4 linked regions of the Drosophila melanogaster genome follow. The protein of the gene in region 1 interacts with the protein of each later gene in a pairwise test. Each region holds a gene or a part of one and is shown in the gene's direction. Other genes may lie near its edges. The genes, in order: CG15580, Mob2, Polr2M and Mondo.

Region 1 (5,160 bases):
CCAGTGTTGCAAACATGTTAAGCAATCGCGCCAACTTTTTGGTCTTTTCGCCTCAGGGGAAAGGCAAAACTCTGCCGTGAGACGAACGGCAGCTCGTAAATTTCAAAAATTTGAAAACAACAGCGCCGGCAACATATACTTTTCGCGCGCTGGCCGAAATTATTTTAAATCACCTGCTGCCCGGCATTTATCATCAGAGCCAGTCGGACAAGTCGGACTCCCTAACGACCGCAGCCAGTCTTCAGCTCAACTCCCAGGACGACTACAACGGCAGCGAGATTTGCGAAGAGCACTTTATTTTGGCCAAGCCATTGCCACGCCTCCGTCCCCAAGCCCCCATCCACACTCCATCCACGCAGTGAAGTTTTCTCCACCTAACACCGACCCACTCATAATGTCCGCGCTTCTGATGTTATTTTGCCATTTTCGCTCTGGTTTGCGGCTGGGGGAAAACTGTTTTGTTATCACGGTGATAAATGGAAAATTATTTTGAATCGAGCAACTACTTAAAAGAATTCCCAAAGGTTGTAATAAATTTTGGGGCACACACATACACACATACATTCACGTCCGAGAAGGACATGCGAGGAAGGACAAGTTGGTAAGACCGAATCCGAGTTGAGCTGGCTTGGTAATGTCCTTCCAGATAAAAAGGTGATTGACGAAGCGAAAGCAAAAGTCATGGTCGAACTTCCACTTAGCAATGCAGTTGTCGTTCACAGAAAAGGACCAACGACGATGTCGGTGGTTGTGTTGTGTGTAGTGGTGGGCTGGATGGCGAATTTCGTCCTGGCATGCACTTAATTTGTACTGGGAGCTGGGGACCTGGGGCTCCTCCACTTGCTCTGAAGAAATACTCCAAGTTGAGCATATTCACAAAGCTTTGCAGAGCCAGGAATGCTATAGGTGCACACCGTGCCAAATTATTTCCTTACAACTTTAAAACTAAACATTTTATTATATGATACATCCTGGAATATAGCCCACATAGGTAGGAAGTAACAGCTCTTCCGGGAAAATATTATAGCTTATCAACAGTACCACTATAATTAAATAATAATAAATATGCATTAAAAATATAAATATTTTATATGTCCTGGTCACAAGAATTGATACAAAGTCGTTTGGTTTTCTTAAGTGCAGCGTCTTTGTTGGCAGGAGCAGCTACATGCACTATGGAAACCACTTCCAAACTGGGGGCCATCTCCGATCCAGGCACAAAGGCACCCGGACAGGACGAGCACACTCAGCGAGCAGCTCTAACAACATCTATTTTTATTTCATTAGGTAGAAAAATAGCCGGCAAGGTGAAGCTCCTGGCAGCTTCGCCATCAAAACAAAGCGCTGAATATTGGCCAAAACGGAATGGAACGGGGCGGGCGAAGCGGGGCTGGCCACAAAAAGAAACTGCTCTTCGCTTCTCAATTAGGTTAGCTTAATTTAAATTTGCTTCGAGTGCTTGGCAAGTGCTTGCGAGACATTAGCAGCAAATATTAGCAAACGCTTAAAGAGCGCCGTAAGTGGAAAATATCTTAGGCGAGTTTTCTTAAATTAGCCGTTGTAAACATTTGTTACGCACTCGGGTCGGGATTTAGAGTGTCTTAAATGAAAACCGGACAGTTTTTAATGAGGAAGTACGTTTGGCAGGTGCGAGATAACTAAAACATAAAACATGTTCATTGGAGTATGAAGATAGACAAACGGCACTTCCATAAATGTATTAAGGTGCACTGGAACACATGGGTTAAAACCATGTTATACTTATCGATCACTTTCAGAAACAAACTTCAAAAAAAAAGACTTTCAACGCACAAACAAACATACTCGAAAATAACTCCATATGGACTTTGAAGATGATGAGGAGGTTGTGCAACCGCACTATGCTCAGAAATTCCGGGCTCCCACCGATCCCCTCCTTCTGGCCACATATGAGCTTTTTAAGCCCTCTCATCAGACCTTGAACCTATACAGCGAACGGAATCGCGAGATTTTTGCGGAGGCCTTTATAGAGGGAAACTTGAACACTTTAGTCAATCTGAGCGTAAAGAGTCTGGCCAAGCTGGGCATTCGAGGCATATCTCCAACTTTGCAGGCGAGTCCCCAGCTTATGAGGATATTTTACGACGCACTGGATGTGGAGCTGCCTTTGAGGTATGTAACGAAACGGATACAAGTATTTTCATTACATAACCTATAATTTAACATTTGACGCCACTAACTTTATATCGTTATTTACTATGGTTACAAACCCTAATAACTTTATATATATTTCAAAGAGATTGCTATTTGATCGAGGATCAACGATTTTGGCGACGCGTCGTACTAAGCAAGACTTTGGACAAAACGTTGCACCTGAAGCGCTGGAACGAGTTCGACTGGAAGGCTGAGGGTGTGAGCCGGAAGTTTGTGGAGCAGGTTGAATCATGTCCTGTGAACGTGAAGCCGCAGAGAAGGCTGGCTCAGTTGGCTGAAATTGTTTGGCAGTATGTCAACTCCATGCACATCCGCAAGCTGCAAGCTCTGCCCGACTATGCCTTCATTAAGCACTTGGAGAGCGAGCCTGAAGAGGATATATCCTCGGAGTCATCCGACGAGGAGGAGATATCTAGCGATGAGCCGGATACGGAAATGGACGAGGGCGAGGAGGAGCACAAGTCTAGTAGTTCCAGCAGCGAGGCAGCTATTACTTTCTGGCGTGCGGAAACCGAGAACGAGGACACAATTCGCCGGAATGCGCGACATCTGCGCAACGCCAACCGCCAGCAGGCTCGGGATGCCATTGCTAGGAAACGGGAGGATCGCAAGGAGCGCAAGAGGAAGCGCCAGGAGAAACTGGACGCCTTGAAGAATGCGGATCAATCGGGCAAGAAAAAGAAGAAAAAGAAGAAGGAACCGCCCATTCGAGACGTGTTCAGCATAAACGTTGCTCCAGAAGAAGGTGATGACGAGGACACAAAACCGGACAAGCGCAACAAGCAGCTGCTGCTGGAGCGGATCAAGCGGTATGACTATCCGGAGGACCATTGTCATCACATTGATCTGGGATTTGTACGATATTTTGAAAATATGATGTCTCTGACGCTGGAGTTTTTGGGACCACCTGATGTAAAAGACTATCAAAGGTAAGCTCTTAAATTAGAATGTTATGGTAAGAAACAACATCGAAGAAGTGAAACGTGCTGTACACGATTTGTATAACATGTTTTCTCTGAGATAAATGGAACCAAATAAATACATGTGAAGTAGAGTTCTAAAAGCGCCAAGAGTCTACAGCTGCATCGCCTACCACCAGCATTTAAATTAAAATTGCTAGCTTAAACTTAACTTAACTTGTACCTTACAGCCGTTATATGAAGTTCTCAGACAGTGATATGGTTCGTCTTAGCAAAGGTCTGAAATACTTACCGAGCCTCAAGACCTTCAGGCTTCGAAACAGTCGCCTGAGTATGAAGAAGTTTCGTATCCTGACCCGTGCCCTTCAGAACTTAGACACCCTTGATGAGGTGGATTTTGGTTATGACCAAATGACGGATGAGTGCAGCGAAGGCCTGGCCTATTTGCTAAAGCGCCCTTTGATGTACCGCAGTATCCAGCTGGAACACAACAAATTGGGCGCCAATTGTGCAATTGTGCTGGGCGAGGCGTTGAGCCAATCGCAAGTGGGGGTTTTGGAGTATCTGGGCCTGGCTCACAATCCGCTTAATGAATTGGCCCTGCATTCGCTCATAACGTGTATTATCGGAACCCCCCATGTGTGGGCCCTCAACATTTCGGGGATCAACACCACCCTGGGTTCGTTTTCCCGTGATATAGGAACCCTCCTGCGCAGCCACACTCCTCTGATGAGCCTCGAAATGGCCGCCATCAACATTGGCATCTCGCAAGGGAATCAAATACTGAGATCCCTGGAAAAGAATACCCGAGTAAGTATAACATTGAATTAGGTTGGATCGCTGATAATGACCACTTTTGCGAAAGGGGTGCTGAAGATCATTTTTAACTGAGTATTGAACTTACATTCCTATCCTAAGATCCTATACGCCGACTTCCGGGAATGTGAGCTGAGCTTCGACCAGGAATTCGAAGTGGACATGATAGTGCGTCGGAATAACTACATTCATGAAAACCTCCACCACGGCGAGAATCTGTGTAAGGTGGTCAAGGAGCGCCGCCATCCGATTGTCCAGCGAATCGAGGAGGATTTCGCCCGGCGGAAGGGGTGCACGGAGGTGCGGCCGAAGTTCTCGAGCTCCAGCAAGGAATCCATTCCGGAGGTGGTCGTTGAGAAGAAGGAGGTCGAGGAGGAGGGCGACATCTGGGCAATGTTGGCTCGGTGGAACCAGCCGACAGCGCCTGAAGTGAGGGAATCGCACACTTCAAAGGATTCGCACCCCTCTCAAAATGGAAAGACAGAACCATTTGTTTTCGAACCCAACAAGTTCGATCTGGACCAGTTCCGGAAGTCTGTCTTTCTGCCAGGCCCTGGCAATCGCTTTTTCTACCTGCAAAGGAACAAAACTCCCTAATTTGTAGCCCTTTTCACCACCTACAATTGTACATTGCATAACATTGTACTCTGAGTATATTTTCAAAGCATTAAACGCACCACTTAGCAGTCCAACATAGTCCCTATCATTCTCGAGGGCTTGGAATGTCATTCGACCTAATGGTCACTTTAAACCTTCGCCATAAAGTGCCGCGCTGGCATAAACTGAGATCTAATTAAGTCGCTGGCAACGTGTTCGCCTTGGAGCCACGCCCACAATTCCGGGGGCCACACCTCGACCGAAGGTCATTGCAGAGCACAGCAAGTGCAACAAAGTTGAGCAGTTTGCATTTAAGCAGCGGAGATTTGGGCAACAGTGTCTCCAATTTAATGCCACTTCCCCTGGCTACTTCTGCCTTCCAAGCTCCACAGTCAATTCCATAAAATCGTGGGCGTACACTCGGAAAAAATAGTATAATTTCCATGTTGATAAAACAAACTAGAAAGCACTTAAAACACCAGTCCTAAAAACAGCATGTTAAATCCTTTTAACACTTTAGTTAAAAGAATTTTTCAATTCATATTACTTCATTTGAAGACTTAATTTCCAATGTTAACTAGCGGTGATTTTATTGGAAGGCTTCATTTCTTTTAAAGTTTTTCTAAACAAGATA
Region 2 (4,940 bases), on another chromosome or scaffold:
TCGCTGCCATAAGTAATGGGCACAAAGCAATTCGAGTAATGGCAAATGGCAGCAGTTGAACCGCTAGAAAGCAGCCGAGCGTTACCACCTTTTGGAGCAAGTGAGATGGTTGCTGTGCTGTGTGGGTGGAAAGAGAGGGCCATAGAGTTGGCGGTACGGATCAGATGTTCCATTACACGCTTCGTGTGTGTGTGTGCGCAGCATAGTGTGGATGAAATTTTGATGTGGTGCAAATGAACTTGCCGCCGTTTCGGTTGCATTGCGGGCGGTCACAGGTGCGCGTTCTCTGCTGCCAAGATTCCTTTTCCTCTATCCGCTTCTCACCTTTTCGCCCCAGTCGTATTTGTTCTTGTTTTTCTTCAGCTCGTCAATGGACAGCTGTTTTGAGATACACTCGAAAAAAAGTGTATTAATGCAATTGTCTAGTAAATTTAAAAATATAAAATAAGTTTATGTGGGTTGGTACTGTTGTGTTTTTGTTAATCATTCTTTTTAGTTATTCGCTTAATGAATACCACACATGTCGGTCCAAATTTATCTAAGTGCATTGCGTGTTCCTGTTTTCAACTTTATTTACGCAGAATGACGATGCGTTTATATTATGTTTTCTTATTCGGGTCTAGATTCTGTGTAAGTTAGGCAGCAAATGCAGTTCCTGTGTTCTTCGGTTTTCGTCTACCGCTCCATTCTATTTGATTACTGATTTTATTTCTTCCTGGCCGAAAAAGAGCGTGATAATTACTCCCTGTGGAGAGATTTGATGGTCAGAGGAGTAGCTATTTCATGCGGGCTTGGGGTCACTTCATTGATAAGAACCACGTAGCTGGAGGTCCTTACCATCGAGAATAACAAATTGGAATATATCTTTAATTCTTTATTTTCTGTTTTCCTTTCAGGTGAGTGAAATATCTTGAGCATGAGCTTACCCAAATCCCAGGTAATTTGTTTAAGTCAATTAGAGCAGTCATTTTAACTGAGAAAAAAATTATAACATGCTTAGAGTATTAAACGTATTAAATAAATGTTTAGCGCTTTAACAAAACTCTATGATGTTTTAGTTGAACAGATTGTTATCAAGCCAATTAGTGTTCTTGGTAAAAGTACATAAGTGATGTGATGTTTGCGTCAATTGTACGAAATTGTGTTAGCCATTAAATTTGCCGAATTTATTTCGTTTACCTGTGATCATTAAAACCATGTGTTAATGAATCAACAATGGCAATATATTTATGAGAAATCCATTTAAATGTTTCATACGAACGGTACAATTATCCCTTTTCGTGGAAAATTAATTTCTAATTGTTATTTATAGAGTTTATCCTAGGTTTGTTCAATGCGTTAAAAAAGTAGTAGATTCTGCTACTATTCTACTGCCACTTTGCCGTGTTCTCTTGTTACCGAGCTGTGTGGCAACGCCAGCGCAGTCAGCTGCTGAGCATCAAAACATGAGCGCTCAGCTGATGCGAGAGAGCGTAGAAGAGAGAGGGCTAAAGCCAAAGCAGTCAAACAAGTGGTCGAAAACCGTATAGATGTGCGTGTCTCGCTTGAGTGGCGCATTTGTATGCAAAACACGTACACGGGCAGCTCTCTCCCGCTCAGCTGGTATTTGATACCTCTAGCTCTCTTCCTCGCGCTCGAGCGGAGAGCAAATGTTGCTGGTGTGCGAGACAGCAGCAACATCAGCAGCAACAATAACAACAACAGCAACCACTTCATCTTTACTGTGTGCTCTGCTTTCGTTGCCAGTTTTGTGTTTTTGCTTTTGCTGCCTTTTTTCTCTCCTTACTTGCGTGAGTGTTGATGTTGCCGCTGTGTGTTGCTGTTGTTGCCGCTGTGTATGTGTATGTGTTGCTGTTGCCAGCCGAACGAGCAGCAGTCAGTCAAAGACGGACGGCTTGGCTCAGTGTAGAAATTTCCTTTGGCACGCTTGGTCGCTCGAGCGGTTGCAGGTCGTCGTCAATAGTGGACTGTTGATGTCGCCGCGTCATTATTTGACATTGTTTTTCGAGGCGCCGCCGTCGGTTGCAACCACACATCATCGCGTCGCAGTTAAAAGCAAAACAGCAACTCCAGCAGCAAGCAGCGCAACATTTGCAACATCAATTGCCACCGTGAAATGCTATGCTAGATTGTGAAATAAAATCGCCTACCAATACAAACTAATATCCCGAAAAGGGGAACAAATGTAAGCCGAAAAGGAGTCTGTTCTCCAACAAAAAAAAAAAGAAAGAAAGAAAAGAAGTTCTTCTCTGTGTGTGTGCTAGTGTTTTCCCGTGCTGGTGTGAAACTGTGTCATTCGCTGCGAAAAACTGCATTCAAGTTTTTCCTCAGAGCCGCGACTGCTGGCGTGTTATTGTTGCTGTTGCAGCTAGCTGCCACGGTTTGTTGCTTCACTGATTACGCGCAATGCAGCAACAGCAGCAGCAGCAGAAGCAACAGCAACTAACTGCAGAGGAGCAATAGCAGCTGAGAGTTCAGTTGCGAAACCGGCGAAGCGCGACTGTTGCCAATGCAGCGCTTAGAATTGGCACACCAGCAACAACTGCAACGCTGCAGCAAAGCTGCTACTCCAGCGTCAGCAACAACAACGGTACATTGGGCATTCACAATGTTGCTTGGTGTGCCACTGCCACTGCCACTCCACCACTACTTGTTCCTCCACTGCCATATTGTTTTAACCACTTCCTTTGCCGCAGCGGCAGGAACTTCCTTCCTCACGAGCTTCCTGTCTGTTCGTCCGCTTGTCTGGTTGTCTGCCCTGCAACCCTCAACCCTCCCTTATTAACGCCCCCTCACACTCAACTGCATTGTCAGGTGTTTTCTCTGCCACACAGAAAGAAATGGGGGTATTGTTAGGGTTCATTTGACAGTTTTCACAAGAATTATTTAAAGATAGGTTTTTATGGAATATATCCTTATTCAAACTGCCTTTAAATACCTTCTAAAAATAAAAAGAGTGAAAATCTTAAAATAATGATATATCTTATTGGGCCTAGAGTATTTCCTCTTTTTTCCGTGCACATCCTGGTTGCGTTGTTTCTACTTTTTGTCAACCCCGTTGACGCGCCTACGTGTTCAATACGCTGAGAAAACAACAGTTACGAGTGGCTCAACCAGCAGCTTGTTATTTCTCACACCTTTCGTCCAGACCCCCCGCGCCTTCCTACCACTGCCCCTCGCCAACCCTTTGGGTCCTCAAATGCGCTAGGCCATCCATCGATTTTTTGAGGTCATGCTAAAAATTGCAAAGCCAACTGGAACTAGTTGCGGATTCCCATAGTTGAATTGCCATGGACAATTTGCGGAAGGCAGAGGAAATGAAATTGATTCAAGCCTTTGTGGTGCGATATTATCTAACCGAATTCGATTCGTTTTCTGTGTAGGCCCTTCTGTGTTGCGGATGTTAAGGATTTATGTAAGCTCAGGAACTAATTAGGAAGAAGCACTATGATATTTATCCAAACTAACAATTTTAGTTCGATATATAATGGTATAGAAAAGTATCTATGTACTATTTGCGATTGAACGTTTTGCCCCCGTTATGAAACACTTTTCTCACGGTATTTCCCCATTAAGCAATTCCAGCAAAATCGTATAGATACTAATTTAGTAACTCAGCAATCGCATTTAATCGAATTCATACATATGCATTTCGGTTCTATTGGGACTGTTTTCATTCGACGTGTATCTCAATCGATCGTTTAACCCATATGAAAAGGATAGTCACAGTTATAAACGCTGTCGGATGAATCTCTGGTAACTGGGTTAGTTAGCGACCCGAAAACTTCTCTGCGCCTTTCCGCCGAACCGTTATGCCATATGTATGTATGTATGATGCTCTGCCTGCCCGCCGGTCAGCTCTTCCAGACCAAACCAAACCAAAATGAAGCGAACAGAACAGAACAACCCAAACCAGCTCGAAGATATATATGGATGGGTTTTGTACGGCTTGGCATGGGGTTTGGTGGTGGGGGTACGGAGATACACCTATCTACTATGTATATCATGTCATCCATTGCATGTGCATCGCACATCTCACGTCACCGTACCGCTGCACAGCTTCTATCTCCCTTTCCATATCTGCTGTCGTCTTCCTGCTCGTCGTTTGCCAGTTGTGGAACTCGTTTTCATTTCTTTCGTTAGCAGACATAGACATAATTCTCCAGCTTTTCTAGCGAGCAAAGGGGGTGGGGGTTCATTTTCGGTTTCGGTTTCTATTTTTTTTTTCTCTCTTTCGACTTTGCCAATCGCTCATTTGACCTTTAACGGGTTGTGCTGCATATACATGAAAAGCACACTCAAATCGGCAACAATTAAGCTCATTCAAAACGCGAGCAATGGGCAATCTAAGAAAAAAAAAACACTCGCCGTCGCGTTGCTAGAATCACATCATAAATTTCGGTTTTGATGGGGCGCCAGTTGTTCTGTGTGCGGAGGTGTGAAAACGATACTAGAAGGGGGGCGCACAAAAGACAAAACTCGTTTGGGGGGAAAAGACAACAGAGTCAGCAAATTGGCTTCAATGCGAGTTGAAGGTTAAGTGCGACAGCGACGCGGAAATTGAACATTTTGGATATTGGAATCAGTAGCTGGTTTCGAGCTGAATAAACAAAACAATAGGCATTAACCCCTTTTCTGTCATCTTTCGATTTTTCGTACTTTTTTTTTAGCACGCACTTCAGACCATTTTATTGGCTTCCTAGTATTGTCTGCAAGCAATTAAAAGTTTTTGCTTTAAGCTGCACAAAGAGTTTCATGAGAAATTTGGGATATTAGTTTCGTAAAGTTAAAATTTAAAAGCACAAAAAATATAAAAAATACTAACAGAACGAATTAGTTTTACATTGAAGAAAGAGGATCTTCATATCAATAGAAAATCAAAGATCGAAATGTACAGGGTACCTCTTTTTGCTTATATAATATACCATTTTCAATGATTT
Region 3 (3,896 bases), about 13 Mb from region 1:
AGGCCTCGAAATATGGACCCGGATAGAAGACCATTTCGGGCTTGGGCCCATTGGTCACCTCGCAGGTGATCCAAATCTTGGGCGTGTTGCCCAGCTTGCCCACGGTGTCCTGAAGGCTCGCTGGCGCCTCCTTGGGCAAGTCATCTGGCGTGTCGTAGGTCTCCGGCACATAGCCAATAACCTTGTTCAGCTTGATGAAGACGGTCGGCTTTTCGGTGGCGTAGCCCCACGTAGTGTCCTGGTTGAAATCGGCGAAGAAGTCAATGGCATTGTCGTTCAATTTGTTCAGGAAATCGTCGATGCGGTCCGCAATCGGATTGACCTCACTCATGATGTGCGTAAAGTAGGCCAGCACGGATCGATTCTGGTTGGGCACCATCGACAGACCCGGCGGACCCTTGAGCCAGCGCGGCTTATTCGGATCAATGATGGCCAGCATAAAGATGCCCAACCAAAAGGCCACAATGCACACGATTAGGGCGTATAGTACCAGGTAGAAGCCAGTGATACGCATCCAACCCAGAGCTGTGCGTCCGAACAATTTGTGCTCGTCTATGTCGAATATCCTCTTCGACCACGGCAGGTCCTTCTTGCGACGTGTCTCCTGGTTCCGGCGTATCTGCTTGACCAGCTTGTAGTCCCCAGCGGGCACCATTACGTCCTCCGGCATCGTGGCGATCGTTCCGGTTCTGATTTGGCTACTGGTTACGTGGGCGTAAGTGGGAAATATTCGAAGCTTGTAGCTTCGGTTCACTATGAAATCTAAAGCGGAGTAAACTATAATTCTCAAATAGTTTTATTATTTTGTTAAGTATTTATTAATACATTAATAAATCCAGCTGAGTTAGCTGATCTCACTCGTACCACTCGTCCAGCACCAATGGAGTGGTTGGATGAACTGGTGCCGTCAGACGCACCAGCATCTTGACCGTTACCATATGGAGCGGTATGTTCTTAGCCCACGCCTTGCAGTGGATTTGGATGTCCTCGTTGATCGGAATGTTGCTCAACCGAACACTGATGATGCGCCTGAGGCGGGGATCCTCCTTGTAAGTAGGTCCGTCGTCGTCCGAAGACTCGTTGAGAAAGACATTGCCGGAGGTGAAGAGCTCTTCGGCATCGAAGAAGCGAACCGGATGGTAGTCGAACTGAATGTCCACTCTTGGCTCAATAACCTGGCAGGACACCCAGATGCGGTTGAAGCGCTCCTCCGAGCCCAGGCCCACCACATAGTCGAATAGCTCATCCGGAGCGTACTCGGGCAGCGTTAGGGCGTCATCGTAGGTTACCGCCTGGAAGCCCAATGCCTGGGTGATCTTTATTAGAATGCACGGCGTGCCGGACATATAGCCCCAACTGTCGTCTATGTTACAGCCCATCAGGCGCTTCGGGCCTTCGAGACCGTATCGTTTCACCGTTCGCATTATCGCGCGTTGTATGTTAGCCACATCCTTAATGTTATTAGGGCTCCACATAATTTGCTTCTGATCACCGACATGGTGTCCGGGTGCGGTTGCTAGTCCGGGGAACTTTTTGCATCCCGGCCTATCCGGATATATATGATTCGCAATCATCACGAGGGCCAATCCGGTTGTGAATACGCCCAAAACGAAAAAGAATCCGATGAAGTAGAGCAGCAGTTTGATAAAACGGCACACGGTCATCTCGGGATCCGCATTGCGTGTGCGAATGGAACGCCTGTAGAGGTACTCCGCCACACGCATATCACGACGCCGGCGAAGGCGTCCCAATTCGTAGGGACCAGAATAGATTATCGCGTCGTTAGGCATGGAATAATAATATATGGGTACTTAATTATATCTTATGGAAATATATGAGGGATTTCAGAAAGCTAGCTTGGGGTGGATTAGAAATATAGGAATGTATTCCGCACAGAAATCAGAAGCACTAATGTATATTTTTGAATAACGCGCCTTTTTGTCGATAACGATAGGCGTTAAGTGAACTCCTGTAGCCCTTTGCTTCGTAGCAGCACTAAGTATTTTATCGCAACCACAGCACGGTCATACTAAGCTTATGAGCAAAATAAGTGAGCCAAAATGGGCGATAATGTGATTCCTGCTCCGCTTAGCCGTATCCCGGGCACCAGCCAGGCGAAGGAGAAGCACAGCAAGGACCTGAAGACCCTTACCTATCCGCAGCTGCTGGAGATTAAGGACAGGCAGTCTCACTTTCTGTCGTTCAAGTGAGTTTTAGTTTCCACCTGTGGAGTTCCCTGTGAATTTATCTTATTTAATTTTATCTCTATTTAGAAAGCGTTTGCACCAACTGCCGGACAAGGGAAAGCGTCTGCAGGAGTCGTACGACAAATTACTGGCCGAGATCAGGAGGCGGGATGAAGTAGAGGAAGCGACTCGAATGTTGAGCGGTCTCAACATTGTCGAAAAGGGCAAAATTGCTCTCAACAATCTGGAGTGGAATGGCAGAAACACGGACGAGGGCGCCCATGTGGACGACATTCTGGACAGCGATGATGAGGTGGAGATGGATCCGCTGCGGATTATAGCGCAGGGAACAATGCACGAGAAGAAGGTCAAGGTTTTGCCTCCGCCAACGAGTTTCATTACGGCAGATGATCTGGCGGATATCGAGGAGTTTAAGAAACCAACCGACTCCCCAGATTCCGCCTTGGCAGGACATAGTGACACCAGTTCCCTTCCTGCCGAGATCGTAGAAATCGACGCCAGTCAAGTGGCCGCAAAGCTGAGCAGGGAGCTGCCTCCCGATCAGCATGCCCTCTACCTCATCGATAAGACGGAAACAAATGTGAATACTCCTAGGGAAAAGTTTATGCCATTCCGAACCACCAAGTCCAATGTCCACAATCCCGACAAGGAGCGCGTGCGCAAAAAGGGCAAGCATTGGGAAATAACGGCAGCAACTCCGCCACTCATCCAGCACAAAGAGGCCCAGTTGGTGCCATTGGCTGAGTCGGCTGCGTTACAGATTGATTACATGCAAAGAGTAAAGGTAATTTCATTGCTTATGGTCTACATAATTCGATGCTAAATACACTTTATTTGTAGGAGGTTCGCATTCAGCAGGCTGAACAGCGGCTGGCCAGGCTTAAAGACTCTCGACTCCGACTTGGCCTGCCCGAGGAATCGATTGTGAAAACCAAGGAATCCTTCCGCAACTACCGTGATCCCCAAGACACTTTTCTCATCGAGGGCAGGCAAAAAGCCAGCGAAGCGAATGAAGTGCAAGATCCTACTGTTCAAGACAGAGGATCGTCCGCCAGTGGCATTCATTACACGGTGTTCGAGTAACCTATGGGCAGAGCATGAGATAGAATCTATGCTATTCGATTTCCAAGAAACATTGTGTACTATTTATTCGCGTAGGCAACAATTACCAAATAAGACTGCATACATAACTATACTGTGTATACTCTGTGAATACTTAGATTGAATAGAACTGCGTGGCTGTGGAGGCTTGCAACTCGATCTGGCCCATCTTGAACTGCAAGCGCTGCAGCCATTTGAGCAGAGCCTCCGACTTGTACGTTTGCTGCTCCTCGTAGTCCGGTGCATAGTCTCTTACGTTTTGCAACCGGACGTGCAAAGTGTCCGAGAGTTGCGTCTGTGACGAGAGTACGGGGCTCCACATGGGTAGCAGTTTGCCCAGCACTGTGGAATTGGTGTCCTTCAACGCCTCCAACAGACTAAGGAAGTGCAGATTGACCATCTCGGACAGCTTGGAGTTAGCACTCTGCGTCTGAAAGTCCAGGGGGGTCTGCGGCTGATCCTTATTGACTGTCGGCTTGGCGTGGGACACCAATTGCAAGATGCAGGGCGTCACCTTTGCCCAGAACTCAAAAAGAACGCCTAACGTGCTGCCCTCCGCATTGCTATTGGTATTGTGGGCCATCTGCT
Region 4 (4,581 bases), on another chromosome or scaffold:
TTTTACTGTACCTCTTATATTCAAATTAATCTAAGGGTAGACTACATTCATTGAAAACTATGAAAGATAAATGTATTTTTAACATTTTATTACCAAGAGTCAATATTGCCGTGTCCACCACCAAAAAAGTTGAGATTAAGCACGCAAATTTTGATTTTAATTTTCTTTTTGAAAACTTCTTTCTCCCCTCTAGCTTAGTAATATAGTAATTATGTTTTAACATTTTAGGTAAATATAGAATGCAAGGGTAGAGCTGCAATCGCGCAGCCGGTTTAAACAGCTCTGTCCTGGGCTGTGTCCGCTTGGGGTAGTCCTTACTGTGGTGAGTCATCTCATTTTCGCACGTGCAGGCGACTTGCAACGCACATTACTCAACTCCAGTCGGCGATTGCGTCAGCCAATTTCTTTACCTTTACCAGGTGGCATGCCCCACTGAGTTTTGATTTGCCACGTTCGCCCGGTCAATTGAAAATCCATACAAGGCAATGCCACCAACACACGTGCAGCAACAATGAATGAGTAGAACGCCAAGTGCGGCAGTGTGCGTGATAAATTGCGAAATTAGCGAGAATTTAGCTTGGTGTATACTCACTTTTGATTTTTATACGTTTCCATTTTGTTGTGTTTGGGCACCTAGGTGCTGCTTGTTTTTGCTTGCGCGCAAACTATAGAGCCATCTTTAGGTTAATATAAATGCCGAAATCGTGAGAGAAAATAACAATTGAACCTTTTTGCGTTTCATTTGGAACGGTAATGAGTGTTGGAATCAGTGTTACCAGATCGGGAAATGCCTTGCTACTTTCTACTAAATAATCCCACCCCTTTTTCTCACAAATCTAAAGCGCACAAAATCATTCGTAAAGTATTATTAAATGACTATATAAAAATTTTGAACTGAACAGCAATTTCATTAAGAACCTTCTAACAGTACAAATGAAAAAATTCTCTGAAAGTATAATGTCTAATATAAGCCCGAGAAAGGTATTTAAGCAAAAGAACATGGGAGTGCGAAATCCTCTAGTCTGCTGATAAAGAATTAGGCAGTTACACTACTTTGTAACAAGGTGTGCAGTTTGAATACTTATTATTAAATTTTAACCGGAACTAATTCAATGTTTATCGATAGTTTTTTGATGTGTGATCACTAATTTTATTCTGGGTATTCTATTCTCTAACTTAAACAATATAGTGAACATAAAGGGAAAATATCCATTTTACATAATTTTTCCTAATTACTTAAGCACAACAATGTTTAAAAAACACATTACATTTGAGTATAATATATGTATATATTCTAGTTTTTCCTATTAGTCTCAACGCATTAACTTTTTATTGATGCGGTTTCAAGGTGCTGTCGGAAAAAGATATAATAGCAATTCCATAAAACTGGAAACTAATTACGGGAAATAGCCGTCCTAAATTCATTGTATTGCAATTTCGGAGCAGGAAACATATGACCTCGTATGCTGCCCTTCCCAATCTTTACGTTTGGGGTGATTATGCTCATTCTTGCGTTTTTCGGCTCGCAGCTTTCAGCCATTTTTAGGAAGAGGGTGCTGTTTATCAGAGCCACCAAATGCTTGACAACCCTGATGGGATGGTGAGGGCTCGCTACCCGCAATAGGTTAATGTGTGCTATATTGTGATTAAACTACGTAGAAGCTTTGTGTTGCGCGTGTGTGCGTGGTATTGGTAGTCCGTCGTGCCTGCTAACTGCCCGTGTTTCTGCTATAGGGGGCAGTTGCAGTTGTACCGAAATTGTGGTGCGCGTGCATGCGCGTGTATATGAGTGGGAACGGAAAAAGGCAAAATGCAAAGGCAGCGCTGAGCCAGAGGTCAAAAGTGCAAACACAGAACTGCTTGTGGAGTGCATACTCTGGATGGCAAGGCCGAATGCCAGGAGTCAAATCGACTGAGCTCCATATAGTAATAGTGGAGAGGGGGACAACATTGCTGCCTGACATCTGCGCATATAGAAGAACACGTACATACATACATATACATATGTATGTACGTTTTCCTAGCTGATAAGCAACGCTAGCGAGGTAGGGAGAGAGAGAGATTTCGCGTCAGCTGTTCATTGTTGTGTTGTGTGCGGCGCACAGGTTATGTGCGTTTCGCAGCTTCGTTCTCCGATCAGTTCTGTTTGTGGAATGAAACCGATCGTTCTGCGCTGGTTCTGCCCGCCTTGTTGGCCTTCCATCAGATCCGCGTGTGTTTACGAGTAGTTGGGGCTTCACTATCTGTTCAAGGAGCTACAAGCGGCCACTGACGTCTCGTTCTGACGTCCGTATCCCCAGCCAACCCCGCCGCGATTGTGTGTGTGTGTGTGTGTGCGAAAATTGTTGTTATTGTGCTGTGTGACGCATATAACGGCAAAAGCGGGGCGTGTTTGCCATTAGAGAAGCTTCGCTCCGGAAAAAGCAACAATTGGACAGGTGTCGATGACGAAAAGCTGAAGGTGTCGGGCATTGTAAACAAATCAAAATCTTAAAACCGTGCTATGTCTCTATCAAATAATCGCTTATTTTAGTAATTTAGTTAATAGAATGACAAGGACAAACACTAGATGAGAGAATTAATAAATGTGTTAACCACGAGGCAAGACAAAACATATTTTTTTTTATAGTCTGCGAACGTTTACATATTTTGAAATGATGGAAAAACCCCATCCAAATTAAAAAAGGGTCAGCACCAGCTTTTAAAAGCCTTTACTACGCGAGAGACATTAAAAAACCATTAAATGTGCCCTCGCCATATCGACATAATCTGCAACCGCCAAAATTTTGGCTCAACAGTAAACTATTTGCATAGGCATCCCCTGGCACCTGTTGAAAATGATGCTGAATAAACACGAGGGATACCAACGCACAAGCCAAATGTTTCCCCACCAGCAGCACCAGCTGCCTCAGCTGCACCAGCAGCCTTATCTGCAACAGTCTCTGTGCCAAAACTTCCAGCAATTGCAGTACGAAACGGGAGTAGGTGCTTCGGCGTCAGGGTCCGCCGAGGCTACGGCAGACCTGCTCAAGGCGGAGCGGGAGTCTATCCACTCCGGCCAGTTTATGGTCTCGCACTTCGAGGCAGAGGAGGCGCAGGACGACCTAGAGGATGACGGCGAGGTGAAGATGCTAGACCCTGAGGACCCCGGTCTGGGCAAGCCGGGCGAGCCAACCAACACATGTCGTGACGTGCAGCTTTACGTACCCCAAACAGTGGCCCACTTCAGCGCCATGGACCAGGAGGGCGACGAGAGCAGCATGAGCATGGTGACCTCCCACCTGGAGATAGAGACCTCGCTCACCAAACTCTTCAAGTGCATGAATCTGGCCTACAGGTGAGTTGAAGACTCGTACTCGAGACCACAACCGAACACCGGGGCCCTGAAGATTTATGAAATGTTGTTTCCCGCTTGTTCACGCGTTTCGAGCGTGATAACGCTCAACTGGCCAACGAAAATCCAGCAAACGAAAAAGCTTGGACCGCTTCGGTCCCATAATCGCGGCACATGTTGAGACGTGACGTCGCTGCTCAGGTTACTTTGGCCCCACATTGCCTCAATCGCTCCTCTGCCACCCTTTATACCCCTCTTTCTGTTACTTCTCCCATTTCTGCAAACGACAGCGCAATCATAGAGAAAATATTAAAGTATTGCCAAAGCAATATCAGAATGAATTAATTTTGCAAAATGAAATGCAATTTGCTTACAACATATTATTATCTGAGACCTTATCAACTAAAAATCTGAATTGTGAAGCTATTGTTTTTTGTTTTTTTTTAAAGAACGAAAAGGATTTGTTTAAAAAAAGTGTTATACAGTTTTAAATTTTAAATTTGTTTGTTATAATGATGGTTTTTAGTCACTATAAAACAGCTACGGTAGTTGTTTGTATGATCCATATATATACGCGTATTGTTAATAACTACGAATTCGGATTTCCTTACATTTTTCACGACCATGTGATTTCATTGTTGTTTTTCACTAAGTGACTAAGTGCTCTAGGAGAGTGTGCGTTCTCCTGGATGCGCTTTAGCGACTACAATATACACGAGGAAAAATATAAATTTAAATTTATAACATGCTTCATTTTGCACGCCCGCCGGTTGTTTTGATGGTGTTAAGTTTCGATGGAAAGACATTTCCAAACGCTTTTTTTGTCTAAATAACATATTAAAAGAGAGAACAACGTAATTGTTATACGCTTCTACTCTACGATTCTAGATACTAGATTAGTTGAAAAGTATGCAACGGGCGTTTCCGACTTGATCAGGATCTATAGCTGGGTCAATCTAGCCATGTCCGCCTGAACGTCGAGATCTCAGGAACCCTATAAAATCTAGAAGTTTAGCCAAGTTAAAACCGCAACTTTGTTTAGCCATGTTGCCACGCCCACTCTAACACTAGCTGAAAACTGTCACGCCCACACTTTTGAAAAACGTGATCATATTTTTTCACATTTTTATTAGTCTTGTAAATTTCTAACGATTTGGAAAAAAATTGTTTTCCACGCCCACTCTAACGCCCTAAACCGCCCAAAACTGCCACGCCCACATTTTTGAATAATTTTTTCATTTTTTAAT

What was found.
Region 2: the proteins of CG15580 (region 1) and Mob2 interact in a two-hybrid assay, tested with the Drosophila melanogaster proteins (one large-scale study listed by BioGRID).
Region 3: the proteins of CG15580 (region 1) and Polr2M interact in a two-hybrid assay, tested with the Drosophila melanogaster proteins (one large-scale study listed by BioGRID).
Region 4: the proteins of CG15580 (region 1) and Mondo interact in a two-hybrid assay, tested with the Drosophila melanogaster proteins (one large-scale study listed by BioGRID).

The regions. Positions count from the first base shown.
Region 1 is NT_033777.3:6,054,171-6,059,330, reverse strand, and holds CG15580 (uncharacterized protein), read left to right. Parts: upstream 1-1,794; 5' UTR 1,795-1,840; coding exon 1,841-2,151; intron 2,152-2,276; coding exon 2,277-3,122; intron 3,123-3,343; coding exon 3,344-3,923; intron 3,924-4,031; coding exon 4,032-4,526; 3' UTR 4,527-4,619; downstream 4,620-5,160.
Region 2 is NT_037436.4:11,550,075-11,555,014, reverse strand, and holds the start of Mob2 (Mob2), read left to right. Parts: upstream 1-1,902; 5' UTR 1,903-2,185; intron 2,186-2,321; exon of another isoform or gene 2,322-2,476; intron 2,477-4,940. UniProt on the Drosophila melanogaster protein: Required for the normal morphogenesis of a variety of polarized outgrowths including epidermal hairs, bristles, arista laterals, and dendrites.
Region 3 is NT_033777.3:19,227,438-19,231,333, forward strand, and holds Polr2M (RNA polymerase II subunit M), read left to right. Parts: upstream 1-2,025; 5' UTR 2,026-2,060; coding exon 2,061-2,206; intron 2,207-2,273; coding exon 2,274-2,991; intron 2,992-3,047; coding exon 3,048-3,290; 3' UTR 3,291-3,395; downstream 3,396-3,896. Other genes in the region: CG11703 (uncharacterized protein), read right to left, coding at 1-670; CG5250 (uncharacterized protein), read right to left, coding at 855-1,790; unc79 (uncoordinated 79), read right to left, coding at 3,424-3,896.
Region 4 is NT_033779.5:21,307,044-21,311,624, reverse strand, and holds the start of Mondo (mondo), read left to right. Parts: upstream 1-1,574; 5' UTR 1,575-1,686; exon of another isoform or gene 1,687-2,686; 5' UTR 2,687-2,837; coding exon 2,838-3,337; intron 3,338-4,581.